Linked DNA regions of Arabidopsis thaliana. The protein of the gene in region 1 interacts with the protein of each later gene in a pairwise test. Each region holds a gene or a part of one and is shown on either strand. Other genes may lie near its edges.

Region 1 (4,724 bases):
TCATAACCTCGTGCCAATTCTCTTGTCAAAGTTTCTCCCCCAAATAAATTATCAATCAAAGCTATAGTAAATAACAGTGGTATTGAATTATATTATAAATCTAGGTCTTATAAATCATAAAAAAACTGACGGTACAAAGTCTTGTATTATTGGCTTTTTACTATATTATGTTGAGGTTTTGGTAAGAAAATATTAAAACAAATTTCTTTTTATTTTATGATTATTTAAAATATTATTAAAACTTATTGTACAATCTATTTTTTATTTATCACATCTTTTTTTTGGTCGGATTCTTATTATCATCTTTTACCGCCTTTAAGTATATATCTTCATCTTTTATTTGTTGTCATTACTGCTAAGTTTCACCTTATATCACTAATTAAAGTATATAAGTTAGTAATTATAAATTAGTGGTACATGACAATACCTTTTTAAGCTAAATTAGATTTTATAGGTCAAATAAGACAGAATGAAATAAAAAAATTAGTTTGAACTAAATAAACCTTAATGACATGAATACTTTCCGGTAATCGAAAATGTAATAAATTGATTTATACTAAAGTTTTAATTCAAATCACAAAACAAACTACACTAAAAGTATATTTAACAGATTCAAAAAAAAAAAAAAAGTGTATAACACATCTATTTTGTTTTTTCTATCAAGAGGTTTTGGATCTGAAGTTCGGTGTGTTTTTTACCCAAACATTAGACTTAAAGCTGAGACTTTGAGGTGCATTCTCTTTGAAAAAAATCCCATAATACACTAGAACTAAATACACGAAGTCACACTGTAGTTTTATGATTCAAAAATTGATTTAAGGGTCAGAAGTGGTATAATTTAGGTTTCAAGGGTCAATTGTAATTTAAAGAGCCCATGCTGAATTTTTGCCTTTGACATGTTAACCCCTTCTCAATTTCTCTTTGATCTGATGATCCTTAATTACAAGAAGTGCACGAAAATCACTAGAGAAAAAGCATAATTACAAATTCACCCTAAATCATTATTCCCGCCCAGACTTAACCCTTCCTTAATTGCCCTTTCACCCTTCAATTTTAACTTTATTCCCATTTTGCCCTCCTCTGTTTTTTCCACAGAGAAGAAAAGAGCATCTAATCCAATCCAAAATCTCTTCCGGTGGTGTTTTCAGCTTCAATTCCAATGATCAACGGTGGAGTACCAGTGTAGAGACGGCGGTTGTTCATCGGAAAAGAATTCACAAGCTTCTTCTCCACTCAGAAAGTCCTCATGATCCTCCGTCTGCTCCATTTTCACAAACTGGAAGAAATTACCTCCTGGAACCGTCACCGGAGCCGCCACAGTGACATTAGAGCTGCTTTCTTCATTCAGCAGAGCGCTTGAATCGCTACTGTCTGAAGATCCAGCTGCGGCGGCGAATGAAGAAGCCGCCGCCTTTAATGGAAGAAGATCACGTAGATCTGTGAAACTCCGGTAATTAAGACCATCAGAATGTTCAAGAAACTGTGGAGGAGACGACGGTGCCTCTGTAATCTTCTCCGGCAACGAAACTTCTTCCTCCTTGACCGAAATATCACTCTCCGTTGTCACCGCCGCGTTGTTCTCTTCTTCTTCTTCTTCTCCTCCTCCTCCATTAAGCTTCGTTTTCAGTTTACTAATCTGCATCAAACCAAAACCATAAGTTTCAATTCTCTTGTAAATCTCAAGATTGGTAAAAAGTTTCAATTTTTTTAACTTTGAATCAACAAAAGTTTCAATCTTTTATCAAAAAGGTTGAATTTTTATACCTCTTGAAGGAGAGATTCATTGTCACGGCGGAGGGAATCAAAGTTATGACGGAGAGAATCGTACTGGGTTTTAAGAACACCGTAATCTTTCTCAAGCTGTTTTGTCTTCCACCGAGCACGACGGTTTTGAAACCAAACAGCAACTTGACGAGGTTGAAGACCAAGTTCTTGAGCTAACTTAACTTTCCTCTCAGGCTCAAGCTTATTCTCTAACTCAAAATTCTTCTCCAAAGCTTTAACTTGGTTAATGCTTAACCTTCTCTTCTTCTCCGACAAGCCCACGTGTCCTCTTTCTTCTACTATAGCTTCTTCTTCTTCCTCGTATCCTTCAAGCATCGACTGAAACTCTCTCCCACCGTATCTCCTCGGACTCTGCTCATCTGTAATTCCATAAGAAGAACAATTAGCAAACAAAGATGAGATTAATTAAAGGACTTGTTTAGAAAATTAGCTAAGTACCTGTGGAAGTTGTAGGACATAAAGAGATGAGACCACCCACTGAATCTGAACTACTTAATCTCTTCATCATCAACAATCTTTAATTACTTTCGAAATTTTTAATAACTTCTCAATTTAATGCATAGTACTTGATGATCTTTACTCTCTTAAACCCATCAAGAAAAGAGAAAACTTTGAAGGAAGAGAGAAAGAGAAATGGAGAGAAATTAAAGACAATGGAGATTCTTCTATATACAGAGAGAGAGAGGAGAGAGATTGTTGAGGTTGATGAGCGTTTTCCATATGAACAAGCTTGGTTTCACACTTTCTCTCAGTTTAAATAAACTCAAAGGTTGGGTTAGAAAGTAACCATGGTTAAGTAGATATTGTCTTGGGTGTTTTCTTTTGTAAATGATTTTTTTTTTTTTGTTAAAATAAATTTGAGGGGGTCCACCGGCTATACCCAGTTACCTCCAGGTTTCTTCCGGTATCACTGGAACTCGTGTAAGAGAAGATTAAAAAATCAATTAAAATAAAATTAATCTCAAACGGATATAATATGGCTCGGCTTATACTAATCGGCTCAGCTCCACTCAAGCTATACGTGGAAAGGAATCTCTGTGTTAAATTAATAATCTATTTTTAAAAATTGAATAATCGAGTTTTCTTTTTATTAATCTTTTGAAATTGTCTATTCACCATGTAAAAGTTATTATAACATCACAATATTGTGTTTAGAAGTTTTATAGTAGTGTGTAACAAAATTGGTTATCAGAATTATTTTGTTAAATGCTAAAATCATGAATGCTTTAGAGATATTTTTTTGACAACATTTTACAAAATATGTTTGTCTTATTCGCATGGTAATCTAATCATCATGTCTTCTTTAATTTGTTAAAGTTGTAATAATTGGATTATATGCGTTTTTTATTTTCTCTAACCCATTAAAAAATTTATAAATTAAAGTTATAGGGTGATGACTTTCGTGGCAATGCAAAAATGAGACAAGAGCTGTTGGGCCTCGATGACAGCAACAAGAGTGAGTTTTTTGCTTTCTTTTTATTTGGGTTAGGTTCTTTTGATTCTCCAAAACATATTTATATTCTCTTATATATTTGGAAAGTTTTTGGGTTTTTGGTTCTTTGATTTTTTTCACCTTATAAGTTCCTATATCCGGTATCATCCATTGATAATATAATTAGTTTGTTTTCTTTATAAAATGTAAATTATATTTTTTAGGTATAACATCATCTTAACTATAGTCAAAATAATTCTTTTGGATCGAAACTAACAACCTTAATATCAACATGAAATTGTGTTTATTTTAGAGGTGAAAATGCGCCAAACCTCTTCTTGTCTTTGGATTTCGGAGGACCATAGGTTCTGGAATGCTGACTCGCGTATGGAAAGATCCATGGATTCCCACTATCCTAGCGCGGCCTGCAAAGAGCATTCTTAACATAAGAGATTCTCTACTCTATGTCAATGATTTAATTGACCAAAACACAAATTTGTGGAAATTGGACCGTCTCCAAGCACTGATCGATCCCGTTGATATTCCACTCATTTTAGGGATTCGCCCAAGTCGTACCTACTTGAGTGATGGCTTTAGCTGGTCTCACACTAAATCCGGTAATTATACTGTTAAGTCAGGATATTGGGTCGCGAGAGATCTTTCTCGTCCTACTTGTGACCCCCCTTTTCAGGGACCAGGTGTTTCGGCACTTCAGGCACAAGTATGAAAGCTTAAAACTACGCGGAAGCTTATGCATTTCGTGTGGCAATGTATCTCGGGTTGTTTAGCCACTTGTCAAAGATTGACATATCGCCATATGGGTACAGATAAAGGTTGTCCCCGTTGCGAAGAAGTAGAAGAGACAATCAACCATCTATTGTTTCATTGTCCACCTTCGAGACAGATTTGGGCTTTATCGCCTATTCCTACCTCAGGGAATATTTTCCCTAGAAACTCTCTCTTCTATAATTTCGACTTCCTTTTTTGGCGTGACCGAGAATTTGGAATTGGAGAAAAGGTGTTGGAACTCTTTCCATGGATAATTTGGTATATCTGGAAAAGTAAAAATCGTTTTGTTTTTGAGAACTTCAGGGAACCTCCCCCTGAAACTTTGGTTTTGGCACTTCAAGAGACAGCTGTTTGGAAACAAGCAACTCTAAAAGAGGATGATTCCACTCGTCCAATCGTGTTCGTAGGTTCTTCTCAGACCCCGTCCACCTTGCTCCCTGAATGTCAACTCGATGCATCATGGCATGTAGATGACACATTGAGCGGGCATGGTTGGGTACTTGTTCGACAAGACTTGGTCATCCACCTTGGCCTTAAGAGCACTCGTCGAAATTTATCACCGCTTCATGCGGAATTTAACTCTTTGTTATAGGCAATGGAGTGCATGATCTCTATTGGTGATACTTCTGGTACTTTTGCTTCGGATTGCTCAGACTTGATTGCTATCCTTGATAACCAAGACGATTGGCTGACTTTTGCAGCGGAATTGGCTTCATAT
Region 2 (4,750 bases), on another chromosome or scaffold:
ATCACACAAATTATGAATCTGTTTTGATGGAAACCTAAACACATGGGTTAATGAGCTATTTCTATAACAATGATTGGGTTGCTCTACTAATTGTAGTTTGTTTGACAAAGATTTTTATTCCACTTTTATTTTTTGTTCGATAATTCCTTATCCAAACTTGATTTAAACCCCAATTTTGACCTGAGTTCAACAAATAAACGCAAACTTAGCGAACAGGATGAGACAAATTTTCTATCTCGAAATAGATTAAATAGTTATTAAAAACTTATTCTTTTTATCAGGATTCTTTTGTTCTATTCCTTTCACAACTTTGAATTCTTTGAAGCACTTTTGTATAAAATCACAATCATTTTGTTCAGATTTTGGGAGCTGGAACTGAAGTGTTGTTTCTAAAATCTTATCAAAGGGATGCATGTTGTATTGCTTTTGTGTCGCTTATTAAACTTTCAATTTGCACCCAAACGAGAAATAAGATCAAATCCTCTTGTTTTCATTTAGATTTGTGTTGACATTTGTGTTAGTTTCTTAGTGTAAAGGAACAAGTTTGTGTTGACATACATTCTTTCTTCGTTTTTTCAGTGGCAATTGACAGTTCCTTACTTGCTACTTCCTCTAAGATTGTCACTTACTTGATAAGATGAACAACGATGATGTAAGTTTCTTTTTTTTTTCTAATGTTATAGAATTGTATGATTGAGAATTGGATGTTTTTTCCTGAATTTAGAATTGGTCGGACGAAGAGTGTTGATATTTTCTTCAACTTTGTACTGCTGAGGAAAAAGGGAATAGAAGAAAGACGAGATTAAATATAACTGGAAAAGAGTCCATCATGAGATAGTTTGAAGAAAAATTTGGGAAGAGATATTCATGGGATAAACAATTCAAGAACAAGTATGATGTGCGTAGAAGAACATACACAAAGGTTAAAAACTTGCTTCATAACAGAACTGAAATTACATATGATTCTGTGTAAAGAATAAATATAATTTTTCTTTTCATTACGTTTACCTAAGTATTTAAGAAAGCAAGTAAACATACTTTTAATAACTAAAGGTCGCTGAAAATTCTAAAAATTGTAACGTGAATTCTCAAAACTGTAAAAACTGATTCTTTTTATTGTACCCTATATGTTAACGTTAATTCTCATAACTCTAAATTCTTATTTTTCCATCAAAATCATGACGTCAATCAAACTGTTAAAAGGCGAGATACAAATATAAATATTGTACTAATATTGTTAATCTGAAATATCTACTATTCAAACATATTTGTTTGAAGTATATCATATTACATGATACATTTTTTGGTGATGAATCAAATTGATGAATAAACATTTCAATATGAAATTTACTTGTTTTTGAATAATTATGTAATACTTTTTTTTATTAGTTATATTTTGTAAAAAAATATAATATTTTATTATAAATTTCATCAATTGACACATATTCATTCATGACAATTTTTTTATCAAGCTTGAGATCCTCAAAATGGTTTTATCATTAGTTATATTTAAAATTTTAACATTAAATCATAATAATATAAAAATTTGGTGTTTTTCAGTTTTCTAAAATTATAAATTATATTATTTTGGTATTTTGTATTTACCGTTATCGCACATGCTAGTTAACCAACTATAAAACTTCAACAAACGTAAAATTTAACCGCTAAATCAATCATTTAAAATATATGATAACTCTTAAAACCGCAACTCTCCGTTTCCATAAATTTCAGCAGTCTGCATTTGAACCATTCAAGCCTCGTAGTTTGGTCAAGAACCGATTACGCGGCCAAATCTTATATCCGACGCTAAGTCGCTAACCATGTGGAAACCATTATTTATCAATAGAAATCAAAACGACAAAACCCGACCTAAACCGAAATCTCAAATTCGAACCCAAATCCAACTTACAAACCTGACCTTAACCGGAAATCAGAATCCGAAAACATTTTCCCTTATAGCAAGGTTTAAAGAAAGCAATAACAAAACCCTATCTCTCGTCTCTTCTCCCCCAAACTCTCGCCGCCGTGATAACCCAAAGTTCTCGACGAAGCCATGTCTACCGGAGAAGAAGGTCACATGGCGATGGCAGATAGAGGCTCTAGAAAGAGAAGAGTCGGCGTTAAGAAAGGTACTAAAGCGGCGAGGAACAAAAAGCAAAAATCAAAACCTTCTACTTCCGATAGGTTTAAGGTTACAATGAAGAATCAAAAGCTATTTCAGAAGAGAGCACGAGATTACAATTCCGATGACGATGAAGAAGAAGATGATGAATCGAAGAAACAACCAGAAGTAACAATTCGTGAGAAGATCTTCTCTGATGCTAACATGGGACCAAATTACGAAGAGATTGGAGAAGAAGATAATGATGAGAATTCAGATGGTGAAGATCATGGAGAGATTGAATCTGGAATCACTAAGTTTGCTACTGATGGATGTAATGCTTTCAAAATCGCTTTTAAAGCTATTATGAAGAAGACTAAAGGAGATGATACATTGGTGAGATTTTATAGCAGATTCTAGTTTTGAGTTTTGATTTGGGAATATAGTGTTGAACTGTGTTGGTGTTGTGTGTAATAGGGCCCAGTTTTATCAGCACATAAGCATCTTATTGGAGAGAAGCTAGCTGAAGATGAAGCTGAAAAGAAAGCTAAAGGTCAAGCTAGAAAGGCTAAACATTTGGTATGAGTTTGGTTGTTGTGTTCACTATTCGTTTGTGTTCTTGTGTTTTAGATGATGATTTATCTTAACAATTGCTTTTTTAAGATTGCTGAGAAGGGACATGTTAAACCTGGAAGTTATTTGGATTCTCATGAAAAGATTCTTATTGGTGTTGCTACTAAAGGAGGTATTGTTGCTTTGGTTAAACTCTCTGTTTCTTGAGATTGTTTGGTTTTTTTTTTTTGTTTTAGTATTGACTCTTTTTTTCCTCTCCATGAACTTGTGGTATCACAGTGGTCAAGCTTTTCAATGCTGTAAGTTTGTTTCTATGTCTATTTTTGAGGTTTTTATTCTCCGGTAGTGATTCGTATGATTCTTAGTTTATGTTTTTCAAATAGGTCAACAAGGCTCAACATGCTCAGAAGGGTTTGAATCCTTCAAGGTCTAAAGACGCTAAAGGTAGGCTTAGAAATTGATCGTTGGCATGAATCCACTGTCTTGTTCTTATCTTCTAATTCTCGTTTTTTATCCTATTGGAACATCCATCAGTGCTGAAGAAGCGAAGAAAAGAAGCATTCTTGTCTGAGTTAGGGAAAACAAAAACAGACACCAAGGTTTGGCATAGTCTCCATATCTCTTACTCTCTCTCTTTCATTATGATTTATCTTGAGAGTTTATTCCTTAGCCGTTTGATGCACGTAGAAACAAGTTAGTATTCTGTCTTGATCTAGCTCCTATAGAGAGTCACGAAAAGAATCACCTCATGAGTGAGTGATAGATGTTAGTTATAAATCAGAAGTATTCTTAGTAAATTACTAGTAACAATTTTGAATGTTCTTAAAGCCTTCAACTTTGGATGAACATAGAAGCAAGTTAGTATTCTGTCTTGAGCTGGCTTCTATAGAGAAAGGATCACCTTCAGTAGCGAGAGCCGTTAGTTATAAGTCTAAAGTATTGTTGGTTAGTTAACTAGTGATATTCTGTTGGATGGTGCAGGCTCACAAATCTGAAGACGAAGCTCCTGTTTGGGCTCCTCTACGAGATAATTACATGTTAGCAAACCCAAAACTGAAGGACTGGGACAAGAAACAGGTATCTCTTCATTCTTATCCACAAATCTGGAATCACATAGCTTGCATACTGATTTATACTCTTTGATCTGAAACTTAAAATTGAATTGTCCGCAGGAAACAAGCGAGGGAGATGATTTTGCCGGTTTGTCAGGAGATGAAAGTTATGAAGACTGAAGAGTTTAAACTAGTAGTTAAACGAGCAAACTTTAATTTTGCCTTTGTATCATGCAAATTTTGTCTGATCAATATGAATGAATTCAGTTTTTTGATAGTGCAAAAGGATCCTGAAAGGTTGTGATTCTTGTGGTTACGCTTTTAGAAAATACACTTGTTAGTATCATTAACCAATACCGTAAATATAGAAGTGATGATACTCCAAACTTCTACATGGTTATTATTTATATGACGTAAAAAAAATATACATTCGTTGTTTTGCCTTGGCTACACAAATTATAATAGGACAAAATTTAAGGATCATGAACCTGAATCTGTAGAAGAGTTTCTAGTTTCACAGTCAAGTCATGATGCCAAATGACAGAAGAAGATAACAAACTTTATGCAAAAAATGAGGCAGAACTGCAGAAGCATGCGCCTTTCTAAGCAAGTATGACGCTTTTGAGGCGGAGAACTCGTGTTCCTTTTCAACCAATAATGGCTTCCAGATCCATCGCTGCCAATTAGTTGCATCTCTGTCTTATATCTCCACTTTGTGATCTTTCATTGTTTTGAGGTTTTATCCTCAGTAGCTTCTTGTTGGGCTCATCGGGTCGTAATCATAAGCTTCACCGGACTTGACAAACCGTCCTTTCACACGCCGTCTCACATCAGCCCTTTCTTTCCTAGAGACATACCTTACTCGCTTGTCAAACCTATTTATACAAAATATGTTAAATATTAGCTATAACAACTTTCAATGATGAATTAAATTCCTTTCTGTGTGCGTTTATACTTACTTGCGAGCCTTCTTCTTTTCCTTGTAACGCATAACAGCGTTATTACGTGTTGTTGCATGTGAGGA
Region 3 (5,071 bases), 2.4 Mb from region 1:
TGTGTCCCATGAAAAATCTGATTCCTCGGATTCAATTTGACCGTGTCTTCGACTGATAAAGGCATCATCGACGAGCTTGGAACACTCTCCAGTGGTATTAGTCTCCCTCCAGCGTACAAGAATAAAAGGTTTAGAGTGATAATGACAATATGAACTCTTGTGTTGAACATTGGGTTTTAGTTTGAAGTAATTATTTTTGTTTTTTTGAGAGAGTTTGGAATGATAATGTGAGGGATATATAAGTGGGAGGAGATATACACTGGTTTAGGGTTAAAGTTCATAAATGGGCTCGTGAGTGATGGCTGGAAACATAAGAGAGAAGAGTAAGTAGGAGAGGACAGAGGCAAAATGGCTGGAAAATGGTATTAATCAAAATACGATTTTATATGTGTGATAGAGATACAAAAAAGTGTTGATGGGGTCGGGAAGATCAGAAAGAGGTAGGAAAGTCCGTGAGTTTCAGAAATTACAATCAAAGATCAAACATTTGTCTTTGCATTTATGAATTATGACACACTCACACGCAATTTTCTATATTTTCAAACTATTGTTTCTCTTGTTTTAAAATGGTTTGGAGATTGGACATGGATTTTTAAATATATATATTATTATGTACACGGTTGCATGGGTTTTCGGGACTATTGGATTTTGCTTTCTTTTGGATAACAAAAACACGATAAATATTTCATTAAACCATACAAATCTTCGATTGATAAATACATATACGAAAACATACCTAAGGAAAAGGAATCCATTGTTGTAGGATTTAGGTACCATGCGGTTTTCCAAACCATAGAGTAATCTCATATGTATTGAAATTTAAAAAAAAAAAAATACAAAGAAGAACTAAAAAACAGAAAAAAAAAACTAAGAAAATAGGGAAATTAAGTTGGAGTCTCTTTAATTTGTTTTTTTTTTGTCATCTAGAGTTATTTTAATGTTACCATGATGAAATACTTGATAAAATACAACATTAAACCGAAAGAAAACGAGATTTTTTCGAAGTTTAAGCCCTAAGTAAAAAAGTCATAAATAATACTACAAAGCAAGAGGAAAAAAGCAATAGTAGTTGAAATCCCACCAAAACTATAAGTCGCATAGTTCTTGAAGATTATTTGAAAGAAAAGTATCGCGGATGCCCACCACCAACCAACGATACACAAGTCCTCCTATTGAGATGAACAACAACCTTCAGATTTCAGAATTTTTAAGCTTTATAACCTGATAACCACTGCCCAAACTTTCTTTCGTATGTGGTGATGTCATAAATCGACAAGAAACAATAAACATTAAGATTATGTGCCTTCATTGGATCATGGACTGAAAATTAAGCTCTTCGATCAACTAAAACAAATTTATCATCATTGTTTTCATACTCGCTGCTAAGTTTGCAGGGGAGTATTAGAGTCCACAACTAAAACAAGTCCAAACCCAATGTGAGGTCTACATAAGTAGAATTTTAACAAGTTAGAAGATTCATATAAACAATTATGTAATGAGAACTATGATTGTAACTTTGAGAGAACTCTCTTCCTTCATCTTATGAAATATCAAATCTAGAAACATTGGCTTTTGGTGACAAACCTTAAGCTCCTTTACATTTTTCTCTTCTTTACATTTCAATAAAGCTCACTAGAACTATTGCATTTCTATCTTTATATAATAAGCTCAATGAACATCAATCTATATTTGTCTTAAAAATGTCAAATAAATAGAAGTTTCATGAAAGGACCAGACCTCGATCAAGTCTGAGAAGCATAGACAAGGAGTGAAGATTTAGTCTCGATAACACCATTCTTAAGAGACGAAAAAAGGTAAAAGATCGAATCGCATAGAATCAAAGAAATCTTCACATATTCAGAGGAAAAACAGCATGTCTAGCGAACACTAGAGTCGAACAAAAGCAAACCACCAATCACACATCCTTATTTGTCAATTATTTATTTTGGAAACTAAAAAGAAAGTTAATGAGTAAAATAGTTTCCATAAGAAGAAAAAAAATGTTTTCTGAGGAAAGAAAATGTTTTCGAAGGACAGCAAAGTTTAAGCCAATAAGCAAAACAAAAGCTGATGCTTGTCGCGACTGTGTTCGTCAAGAATCTCCAGGACGAACCCAATCTTCTCTCTCGAAGCTGTCTAAAATTAATCAATCAATCATTGAGCTAATCATATTCTAGGTTAAGTAAAAACAGAGTAAACCCTCTCTTTTTTTCTCTTTCTCTGCCTTTCTCAATTTCGTTTCGTCTCCTTCGTTCTTCCAATTTCCGTCTGATTTTATACGAAATTTGCATTGATATCGAAGTAAAATCGAATACCCATGATTCAAAATTTCATTTTTTATGCGACTGATTCCTCAATTTTGATTTTCCGGTGATTTCTAGGGTTTTCTATTAGGTGGGTGTTATTTATCATTTGATGGGTCATTTACTGATGATTTTGCAGGTTTTTGTTTTAAGGATTTGTGTAGACTTTCATTGCTGCTACGTTTTTGAAAGGGTAATTTGAAGGGCTTAGCTTCCCAAAGGTGAGAATTTTAACTCCAGTTTGGCTTCTGATATTGTGTTCATTGTTATGTATTTTTAAGCTTAGTAGTTGTGTTTTAAAGTTGTTCCAGTTTGGTTGATAAGTGTGTATGTGTGTTCATCAGATTGGGTGAGTACAGTTCTTTCATTGATATCTCCAGTTGATTTGTGGGAATTTTGTTCTGTGTGTATAGGATTTAGACCTCAAATATTGGATTCTCTTTAAGCATTTAAGTGCCTGGTTTCTTCATCATCACTTGATAGGAGGACTTTACAAATTTTATTCTGAACATGGAATTTGGTTAGCCGAATAACTTCGTGGGGATTAGTTTCTCGTGCAAGGAAATTCTTCATGGTTCTGTCTTGGAAGTGTTTGGAATCTTGAAGCTTGATAGATTTTCGATGTAGGCATGATGCGGTTTTCTTATAGGTTTAAAGGGTCTTTAGCTGAGATATGGTTCCTATGGTGTGTAATAGGTTTAAAGGGTCTTTAGATGAGATAAAACTGTGCAAAGAGTTCATATAATAAATGGTTAAATCCTATATATTATCTGTTCAGTGTACATAGAGAAGAATTAGCTGTGGAATTTGGATGTACATGATAATAACAATGTAGTTTATGTCTTCCAACTTGTCTCTGTTGTGATAATGATCAATGTGTTTCTATTCTAACTCCTGTGGTCCATTGATTTTTGAATCCTTTGTCCACCTTAGTACTTTCTTCGAAGAAGGCATGGGAAAATATGATTCTCTGGTCCAACTTTCTTAAGACTGTCTGCATCTTTGGATCCTTAGATTTGTCTACGGGATTATGAATTATTTGACTTTTGATACCGATTAGACAAAAGTCTTACATTTCACACAAATAAGAGTTTGCATCATTGTAGAGAACAACATTGTTTTCATTTCTGCTTCAGTGTTTTTGAGTTGAAATGTAAACACCTCTTTCTCTTAGATTAGTTTGAATGGCACTTGAGCTGGTGTGACCTACATTCATTTTGATTGTTTACTTTGCATGCTATTGCGGTTTAGTTATGATTATATTTTGTTTCAGGCACTAGGTGGCAATCTTATCCAAGATGAACAGTCAAAATCCTGATGATCATGTAAGCCAGCTAAAACACCTTTTTGCCTTCAACCAACTAATCGAGTAATTTCCAGTCTCCCGCTCGATTTTTCAATCTTTTATCGTTTTCTTAAACATAGGAGGACACAACGGTTGTGGGATTTGAAGTACCTGTATCACCGGTTTCAAGTTACAACAATGTGTATTCCTCAACCGAAGATGAGACAAGAGATCCTCCAGCAGTACCGCCACACCTTCAACACTCTCTATTAGGCAATCAGGGTAGCATGGAACTGGCTTATGCGCCACAGAATGTTGTCCTGAACCACCTCTATATCGAGAACCGAGACGCCCCAAGATCTGTTGTAGCACTCGGTTTCTCGCATCGGTTCAGGACTAAGTTTGTCACTGTGGTGATATACAAGCCTGTCCAAAGAAGAGGGAGCGCCAATGTTTGAATAATGATACCTCTTTTTAAGTAGTGTTGGGAATTTGCTTCTTTATGGATTGAATTTGGTATACAAAACCATCTGGTCCGTACTGAATTTTATTCTTCTCTTACAGATTCGATTTAGACGGTTTCTAGGTACATTCGATTGAAATCATCTTCTTGTTCGGAGTTTATATAAAATCTCCATGCATTTTTATTTTTTAGGCCCAAAAAAGCTGATAGACGTGGGCATTGTTTGTTTGTAATAACTCCCTTAGATTGGGTTTAGTTAAACGAGCCCAAATATCGCTAATGAAGTTCTTTACTTGCTCATATGTAGTGTTACCATAAATTATTTAAATCTTTCGTAGCTCCAAAAAGGAAAAAAAAAAAAAAAAATCTTAATCAAAACTTTCTATGTCCGAGATAAGTTACCAAACTAATGCTCTAAAACTGGATTGGATCGTCGGATCAATGCATTAGTCTAAAACTGGATTGGATCGTCGGATCATTGCATTAGTTCGGTTTGAATGTAGATCACTTATACTCTCGTTGTTTTTAATTAAGTGTAGTTTTAAGGTTTTTTATTTTTTTTTAATATAAGTGTTGTTTTCACTTTTCTATGCAAACATTAAATGTATTTAATAATTTTTAATTAATTATATTTTTTTACTGGTTGGATTAGTTGTAATTAATGATGTTTTTATAGGAAAAAGATAAATTAAATAAAATTTGTATGTTTTCTTAATTTGTGTGCAAAAACTTTAAACTACAAATATTCAGTAACAGAGGGAGTATATAAAAACAAAGTTGGTTTGTGCATGGGAGCTTATTTGCACAAAATTGATTAAAAAATGGGTTCTGGATATTAATAAGACTATGATTAATATCCAGAACCCTATATTTTTTTCAATTTCATCGAAAGTTTCATCAATGTAACGTTAAAACAAATTATACATCTTACAACCGTCAGAAACTACTTTAAATCCATGATATCACATATATGAAACTAACATTATTATTTGAACAAATTAAAAAACATTATATTACGCA

Evidence for each region.
Region 2: the proteins of HB6 (region 1) and AT5G48240 interact in a two-hybrid assay, tested with the Arabidopsis thaliana proteins (one large-scale study listed by BioGRID).
Region 3: the proteins of HB6 (region 1) and AT2G28060 interact in a two-hybrid assay, tested with the Arabidopsis thaliana proteins (one large-scale study listed by BioGRID).

Annotation. Positions count from the first base shown.
Region 1 is NC_003071.7:9,525,320-9,530,043, forward strand, and holds HB6 (homeobox protein 6), read right to left. Parts: upstream 2,527-4,724; 5' UTR 2,294-2,526; coding exon 2,224-2,293; intron 2,145-2,223; coding exon 1,765-2,144; intron 1,637-1,764; coding exon 1,151-1,636; 3' UTR 669-1,150; downstream 1-668. Other genes in the region: AT2G22440 (non-LTR retroelement reverse transcriptase), read left to right, coding at 3,591-3,915, 4,153-4,598. UniProt on the Arabidopsis thaliana protein: Transcription activator that may act as growth regulators in response to water deficit. Interacts with the core sequence 5'-CAATTATTA-3' of promoters in response to ABA and in an ABI1-dependent manner.
Region 2 is NC_003076.8:19,557,248-19,561,997, forward strand, and holds AT5G48240 (Rrp15p protein), read left to right. Parts: upstream 1-1,995; 5' UTR 1,996-2,053; coding exon 2,054-2,497; intron 2,498-2,578; coding exon 2,579-2,680; intron 2,681-2,764; coding exon 2,765-2,846; intron 2,847-2,953; coding exon 2,954-2,973; intron 2,974-3,057; coding exon 3,058-3,118; intron 3,119-3,208; coding exon 3,209-3,273; coding exon of another isoform or gene 3,274-3,344; coding exon 3,345-3,430; exon of another isoform or gene 3,431-3,525; coding exon 3,526-3,580; exon of another isoform or gene 3,581-3,655; coding exon 3,656-3,751; intron 3,752-3,846; coding exon 3,847-3,906; 3' UTR 3,907-4,028; downstream 4,029-4,750. Other genes in the region: BBX8 (B-box type zinc finger protein with CCT domain-containing protein), read right to left, coding at 4,472-4,601, 4,686-4,750.
Region 3 is NC_003071.7:11,949,149-11,954,219, reverse strand, and holds AT2G28060 (5'-AMP-activated protein kinase beta-2 subunit protein), read left to right. Parts: upstream 1-1,966; 5' UTR 1,967-2,177; exon of another isoform or gene 2,178-2,442; 5' UTR 2,443-2,524; intron 2,525-3,576; 5' UTR 3,577-3,601; coding exon 3,602-3,628; intron 3,629-3,728; coding exon 3,729-4,046; 3' UTR 4,047-4,349; downstream 4,350-5,071. UniProt on the Arabidopsis thaliana protein: Regulatory subunit of the probable trimeric SNF1-related protein kinase (SnRK) complex, which may play a role in a signal transduction cascade regulating gene expression and carbohydrate metabolism in higher plants.